Caenorhabditis elegans: one gene and its partner. The protein of the gene in region 2 purifies or fractionates together with the protein of the main gene of each other region. This does not show direct contact. Each region holds a gene or a part of one and is shown on either strand. Other genes may lie near its edges. The genes, in order: sorf-2 and sorf-1.

Region 1 (3,931 bases), on a different chromosome or scaffold from region 2:
CATGTAACCAATGTCTGAGAGCAGCTCGGGAACGTGATGCGATGGCTCACGGGAGTACATTTCTCTAAAATGGTTCAGTTTTTCAAAGTTTTATTTCTACCAAACTATGGGTTTTCTAAGGGACCGGGGCTTCGAGTTGGAAAATTTTGGTATATGGTAAGTTTAGTAAGTTTTATGAATGAAACTTCAAAAAAAATTAATTTGCGACGATGCTCCAGTATCACTACAAATATATTCTGATATTACTAATATACAGTAATATCGGCATGGTCGTGTAAAATATTGGTAGCCGAGTTTACACTTTTTGAAACTATGATTTCCAAAAATTTGTGTACCTTAATTGATCATCTCCCTTGCACAGCCGATATTTCGTTCGATTTAATTGCCGAAACCCGCCATTTTCCTCGGAAAAATCACACACCCACGGAAAAATCGGATGATTATGTACTTCTCCACGAACTCGTCCAGTGATATCATTCAAATATGTCAGATACTGATAGTTTTCCCATTTTCTATTCGCCCAATTCGACGTTGCCTCATCAAGAGGTATCCTGGGGGCTCGCGGAGCTCGAAACTGCTCAAATATTGGAGCAAGAACATCATACTGAAGCCAGAAACTTGGAAGACAGCGGAAATGACGGGTTTTGAATTCAGCTGTGATCTTTCTCGAGAATAATTGGGAATATAGGTCGAGTAGATTTTTAGTGAGGAAATGGATTGTCTGAAGGCTTCCATCAGGAATATTACTGTACGAGTGTCGGAGTACAGTTTGAAAATCGATTCCTTCTTTCGTGTGACCATAAATCAAAATTACATTATCTGCCTCTGTATGAGCAATTGCTAGAATTGAAGTCATATTTGGAAGAATTTGAAGACGTTGAAAATTTATTGTCTTATGAGGTGCTTTTGAGCAGTTTATATGAGAAATTGAAAGCTTCTCTGCGATATTTGCCCATTTCGTGATCCAATCCAATTTTGTGCTTTTTGCCGGTGAGCACACTCCATTTTTGACTCGTTGGTGCTCTTCATAGTCCATTAGAGGGTCGAATGAGGTGTTGAGTCTGCAAAAATTTGAATAAGCTTTATAATAATTAGTTCAGTGGAGCGGGATCGCACATGGTTCAGTTTTCAAATTTCTTGGTCTCGACAATGAAAAAAATAGAGCGCCATGGCGCGTCTTTAAAGATTTCTGTAGTCTCAAATTCTCGTTGTTGCTTAATTTTCATCGATTTTTAACTTATAGTATTTTTTCCAATTTTCAAAAATGTATATATTTTTATTCAAGAAAAAATATCATGAAAATTTAAAAACTATTTATGAAAAATCGACGCAAAATCGCAACGAGAATTTGAAGCTACAGTACTCTTCAAAGGTTCATACAATTTTAATAACTATTTGTCGTGTCGAGGCCAGTTACAGTATTATCGGAGCAAAAGTTGCAGAATTTGGCATCTGGGTAATATAAATTTGCTCACAATTTTTCGAATTCTTTCTCGAGTGCCACAGCATCTGTGGATTCGTGAATCCAGGCCATTTTTGCCTCAAGTATGACATTTTCCAATTTCAGTTCATCATGTGGAGCCCATTGGGTGAGAATTTCTGATAGAGCATTTAGTTTTGACTCGTTCCATTCGAACTCTTCCTCAGGCATATATGGGTCTGAAAATCGATAAAATCATGATTATTAAATTTTTATAGTTCCCTAAAACGTGGCGGGACCCAACAGGAATTGATCACGCGCTTTTAAGATTAAAGTAATATGAACTCGACAAATTCTGAATTATTCAATGGAGAAATATTCAAAAACGTTGCAATTATCGATCTTTCCGAAGGCGGAGGTCAATTTTGAATTTTCTGGTAACCCAAAATCAAAAATAAACATTTCGACGGGAACGAGATGATGATTGTTGTATCGATTTTCAGGGCAAACATAAATAAACAAAACTTTTTTATTTATACTTATTTTTAAAGAGAAAAACAACAAAAAGAGAGTCAACAAATAATTCTTACTAAATCCTAAAAAATCGATAAAAATCGAATAAAAAGACATTAAAGTTCCAGGCGAATGGATGTTGGCAGGAAAATGTCCAATTTCTTCTGAGTTCCACGAATTGTGATTTGTCTATCCGTGAGTTCAGCATCTTTTGGTGTAGCGTTACTTGAGATGTAGAGGCGATGAATGTAGGACTGAAATTGGTAAAAATGAGATTAAGAATTGTTTTTTTTTTCAGAAAACTTTTTATAGAAAGTTCAATATATTTATCAGCAATCAGTTAAATTTTTAAAGATTCAGTTTTTGGCTAGACAAGAAAAGATTATACAATACAAAAAAATGCTCAAAATTTTTTAAATTAAGAATCGATATAATCATGTTCAAAACTTGATATTTAAACCATTTATTTTCACGAAAATTGTATATTTTCACTTTCGAGAAACTTAACAATTTAATTATTTAAGTTTAAAAATAAAATTTTTTGTGTCAATGACACTGGGTTTTAAAAATTTAACTGATTCAGAAAAATCTTAAAAATAAAGGAGGCATTAAAAAATGTAATAGATTTTTAATTTTTTTTGTAACTTTTTTTCTGCAAAAAACAGTGAAATTTCTAAATCAAATTTTCACTGAGATTTTAAATTGGAAGTTTTTTCTATACTTTAAGAATTAAATTGTTATGCTTCTCGAAAGTAAAAATATAGAATTTTATTGAATATCAGTTTTGCTCATTTTTCTCAAAATTAATGTTTTTCAGAAGAAAAAAATAATAAATTAAATTTCAAAACGCTGTTCTATTTTTTTAAAGAATTTTAAACACTAACCGGTAGAGCAGAAATCTTAAAAGCAACAGAATTTGCCAAGAAATCAGTTCCATAAAACTTTTCATCAGTACTTCTTCCAACAATTCCTTCAGAACATCGTTTAAATCCATCAGAAATTACTCCAAATCGTCCAATATCCGTACCGCCCATTCTGAATCGAATCTGTGAATAATCACTCATTTGTTCATTTTCGATAAGAAATTCAGCTCCGTGTGTGTCCAGTTCATGTTTTTCTCCGCATTTTTCGTTGATTATTCCCGTATAATCTTTTTGCCCTGAAAATTGAGAAATTTTGATTCAAAACTCGAAACTCGAGCAATAATTTAACTCTTGGTACCAGAAAATTAGTAATTCGAATTTTTTCAAATTGAATGCTTGGGGTTGTTTTTTTTTCGCAAACATTTAAATTTTAACATTTGAAAACTTTTTTTTAAAAAATCTAAATGTATTTCCCAATTCTGTAGAAAATTTGGGAGAGATTTCAATTTCAAATATCAATTCTCTTAATAAGAAAAAAATGTTAAATATATTTTTCTCTAAAATTCAATTTCCAATGAATTTTCAGAAATTAAAGGTGGAGTAGCGCCAGTGGGGAAATAGTTTTTAAACATGCCTATGGTACCACAATGACCGAATATCATGATAAAAAAATTCAAAAAAATTTTCTAAATTTTATATGATTCTTTGAAAATTGAAAAATCTCAGTTTTTGCCTAATTTCTATTTGAATTACCGCCAATTGGATTTGTTCGATGGAGCGCGCATGCACGTTTTTAAATTTATTTATTTTATTTTTTGTTATTTTCCACCGATTTTTAATGTTTTCGGTGTATTTTTGGTCGAATTTTAGAGAAAAAATCAAAATAATTGCAAATTTTCGATTAAAAAGCACGCTTATAGGCGTAAAAATGTAAAAGTAACTTTTTTCAACGATTTCAAACCTGAATTAATTAATTTCACTGATTTACATTTTTACGCCTGTAAGCGTGCTTTTTAATCGAAAATTTGCATTTATTTTGATTTTTTCTCTAAAATTCGACCAAAAATACACCGAAAACATTAAAAATCGGTGGAAAATAACAAAAAATAAAATAAATAAATTTAAAAACGTGCAA
Region 2 (3,931 bases):
CAAAAGTTTAAAGCCGAATTTCGAAATAAGATCTCCCGAAAATTCTTAAAAACGTCTTTATGTAGGTTGTTTAATATTAAATAAAAATAATCTCAGAAATTTACAGCAACTTGGATACTGAAAAATGACAACCGCAAAAAATTCAAGACACTAAAGATAGGTGAGAAGTTGCCACAGTTATTTCGAAAATTGCTATAGTTGGCGGGAAACTTTTCGGAGGGTACAGTTTTGGGGGTTCAGAAGTTTCGACTATTTCCGGGTCCCATATTAGATTTTTTTAATTATCTGAGGACAGTAGTTGCGTAAGAAATTCAGTTTTTATTTACCCATCACATTTTCTTGAACATTATACATAGTAGATTCTTATAATGAAATTTAGTATTTTGAGTTAATTTTGACTTTTTTTGAGTAACAATATTACACATCGATAGTACATTTTCAAAGAACGTTTTTACAGGAAATACGTGTCTGCTAGTTCAATTTTACTTTTTAAACAAATCACTGAGCAATGAACAAACTCACTGAGCAATTACTGCGAAGTCGTCTATCAAATCTTCATCGAAATCCACATGATCGTTCTGTAAAACTTTATTTAAGATAACTTTTTTTCAATTCCAGTATCTTACTCCAGTCGGATCTCTTGCTATTCCTTCTACAATCGTTCCGATAACACTTGGAGAAACGTTCGCCAAACTTGTCGACAAAAAGTTATGAAGTGATACGTAGTATATTTCAATCCACGTTTTATCAAAATACTTTCTAAATGGCTCGGTGTCCTTTGCATGGTGGTTGTAGGGAAATGCTGAAAGTTGAAACAATGACCATTTTTCAAAAAAAAAAAACCGGCATACCAAACCAATCTGCCCATTGCGGATTGTTTAACGTAAGTGACGACATTTTCCGGAAAAATTCGTTGCATTTTGAAATGTTTTTCTTTTGAACACACCGAACGAGAAATAATCGATAGGCGCTGGCTTCGTAACATTGCGCTTGTTTTATTCCTTCCTGAAAATAATCGATTTAAAATTATTGATGGTAATAACTGTTAGAATAATTGAATTTTAAAGAAAAAACTGACCGTATCTAAACTATGAAAAACGCGGGCATTCCAAGACTCCCACATTGCGCATAAAGTGTCCACGTCGTGTTTATCAATGGCATCTGTCATCTCGTCAATGCATCTATCTACCTGAATAAAATGATCGGCATATTGATTTTTTGAAAATTTAAAGACCAAAAATAATTACCTGATAGTTAGCTTCTTTGGCAAATGAAGATTCCTGATCGAAAGCTTTCAAACTGGTGACCATCGACTTCGCCGCCAAATAGTTTCTGACCACTTCGTCGGTGGAGTTGGAAACATGGCTCATTTGGTTAAATCTGCAAAGAAATGTTTGTTTATGTGATTGCGAATAAAAAAGGTATTCAACATGAAAAATCAATTATATATGCCCTCAGAAAAAGTAAAATGCGCTCTAATGCAACACATTCAAGTAAACACACGAAAAGGTGTGCGTTCATCGATCGGTCGTCGTCACAAACAAAACAAAAACGAGTCCTGCCGATTTATATTGGCGGTTTAGCATTTTAATATGAGAAAGTTGTTATAAAAAAATATTTCACAATTGAAACACTTACTGAAGTAATAAATTAGAAATTCGCAAAAATACACGTTACAGAGCTATAATCATTGTCGTTTATACGTCAATAAGCGCCCAAAAAATGCCGGATCACTCCGAGTGGAGTACGTGCGCGATGGCCGAAGATTTGCGCATGGCCGAGCCGGGAAGAACCTTGTAAACGCGATGCATAAAAAAACAATGTGTGTTCAATGAATATTGGATAAAAACAAGACTATGCGACTTACGAAATTAATACCTTACATAAAATTTTGAAATTTTTTTCAGACTGAAGCAGTTTTGTTGATTCTGGGTAATGTTTGTTATTTTAAGGTCGGTTTTAAATCATAACATTTGTTGAAGAATCAAGTAAATATAGGAAATTTTGAGAACAATTTTCCAGTGGCAATATTTTGTTATTCTTTATATATTTTTTTAAAGCATTTTTTAAAACCCTGCATTTTTGAAAATGAATGAAATTTTCATGAACACATGTTTTTCTCATGATAATTGGTACTTTCCAAAGTCTCAAATTCGCACGCTTTAATTTTTTACAAGTAAACTCATTTTTAAAAATTCTTTAAATTTTTGATTTGGTGCTCTGTTGTTCAGTGTGAGATTTGAAAATTGTGTAGGTGTAATGAAACGTTGTATTACTTGTTTTACAGTTTTGAGAGGTGTTTTTGTTACCGTTGTATTCATTTGAAAGTTGGTAAAATTTCAATCGTAATATTTTGACACAGTCACGTACAGTTTTCAAAATGGTTAAAATTTTTGGGGCAGGTATACTACACATGCACTCTGAAATATTTAACTTTTATTTGATTACCATTTAAATTTGAAATTAAAATACATCAAAAAAAGCTCGTTGTTCAACCTTACCATGCCACTTTTCCGATGAGTGTTTTTATGCTATCAAATTTCAGACTGCGATTGCCCCCTATATATTCCAACCGTTGATGACTAGACACTTATCGTTTCATTTGTTCACGAAAAGTCCGAAATTTCACACCAAAAACAGATAAACAAACACCATTTTCACTGGCTTAACCTCCCTCCGAACAATCGGCGAACTAATCACATAAAGTGTGAAGCAAGAAAAAAAAACGAAAAATATCTAGGCTCATCACAGCCTCCAGTTCTCTAACTTTGCTGCTTCAATTTCATATTTTTCTTCCATTAGCTGTCACAATTGTTTCCAACGTGTTTCAATCTTTTCTGCCATTAGATCAAGTTTCTCAACATATTTCTTCTTATTTGCTTTGATTTGTTTCTCCTGATGGAGAAGAAGTATCGAAGTTCAAGTAGGTAGCAACTGATGAATGTGTTTTGCAGAGGCAACGTGTAAAGGCCGGAACGGAAATTGAGCCGGCAACCAGTTGACTTTTTACTTTTTTCACACATTTTTCTTCTCAGCTATCTTTGTGTTGAGAAAATTCACAAATGTGGCTTCTTCTATCAATTTTCCTATGTGCTCCATTCTTTCTAAACGGGTCGGAAATTAAAAAACGTAAGTAATGAAGCAATTTTTATTATAACTTTCCTAACTTGTAAAGCACTATGCGAAGTGATTCAAGTGGACTCGAAAAACAACAGTGATATGTTACTACCGTTAGCAATTATCACTGATATGGATAGTAAAACCAAACAGAAAGATAGCTGGTACAGTACTCTCAGATACGGGGCTCTGGCCTTTTCACAGGTAATTTCCGCAAAAGAAAAACCAGAAAATAAAAAAAATACATTTAATTTCAGAATCGAACTGCTTCTTTCATTCACTGGCTAGGTGGAGTTAACATCACATCGAATTTTAACTTTAACCAAAAATCAATGGAAATGAGTGATTTGAAAATTTTCAACAACAGATTATTATCAGTGGATGATAAAATCGGAGTTGTCTACTGGCTGAGAAACGGCACCGCAATTCCATGGGTAATCTCGTCAACGGGAAATGGATCTTCAAGTAGTCGTAAGTTGGTCTTGGTTGAAAAATTTAATGTTTACGAATAATACAAACATTTCTCACTGGGGTATTCTTTTACTACGGAATTTTCTCAGCTTGTTATTTTTATTGATGAGAGATTTTCACATAGGATTACTTAGGAAATATGAGATCTCAAGAATTCAATCCCATACACACATGTCCGTGGACTATTCAGAAAAAGGTTGGCAGTGAACATTTTGGGGGGTTTCCTGCTGGTCAGGGGAGCAGCAATTTCCGGCCCGCAATTCTGCAAAATTAGCCCGCAGCATGACATGTTCTCCCAATATTTTTAATTCAAATGTAGCATGTGTATTTTCGGAACGCATAT

What was found.
Region 1: the proteins of sorf-1 (region 2) and sorf-2 purify together in Caenorhabditis elegans (affinity purification with western blotting, with the first as the bait; one study listed by BioGRID). This does not show direct contact.

Annotation. Positions count from the first base shown.
Region 1 is NC_003281.10:5,324,351-5,328,281, reverse strand, and holds the start of sorf-2 (Suppressor of organelle fusion 2), read right to left. Parts: upstream 1,660-3,931; 5' UTR 1,652-1,659; coding exon 1,476-1,651; intron 1,062-1,475; coding exon 336-1,061; intron 65-335; coding exon 1-64. Other genes in the region: F52C9.3 (uncharacterized protein), read right to left, coding at 2,050-2,187, 2,818-3,092. UniProt on the Caenorhabditis elegans protein: Together with sorf-1 negatively regulates the levels of phosphatidylinositol 3-phosphate (PtdIns3P) to enable the conversion of early endosomes to late endosomes.
Region 2 is NC_003284.9:3,377,520-3,381,450, forward strand, and holds the start of sorf-1 (Suppressor of organelle fusion 1), read right to left. Parts: upstream 1,730-3,931; 5' UTR 1,639-1,729; intron 1,381-1,638; 5' UTR 1,371-1,380; coding exon 1,248-1,370; intron 1,190-1,247; coding exon 1,079-1,189; intron 1,006-1,078; coding exon 852-1,005; intron 803-851; coding exon 627-802; intron 579-626; coding exon 523-578; intron 1-522. Other genes in the region: ZK563.7 (Apyrase), read left to right, coding at 3,063-3,129, 3,176-3,321, 3,375-3,588. UniProt on the Caenorhabditis elegans protein: Together with sorf-2 negatively regulates the levels of phosphatidylinositol 3-phosphate (PtdIns3P) to enable the conversion of early endosomes to late endosomes.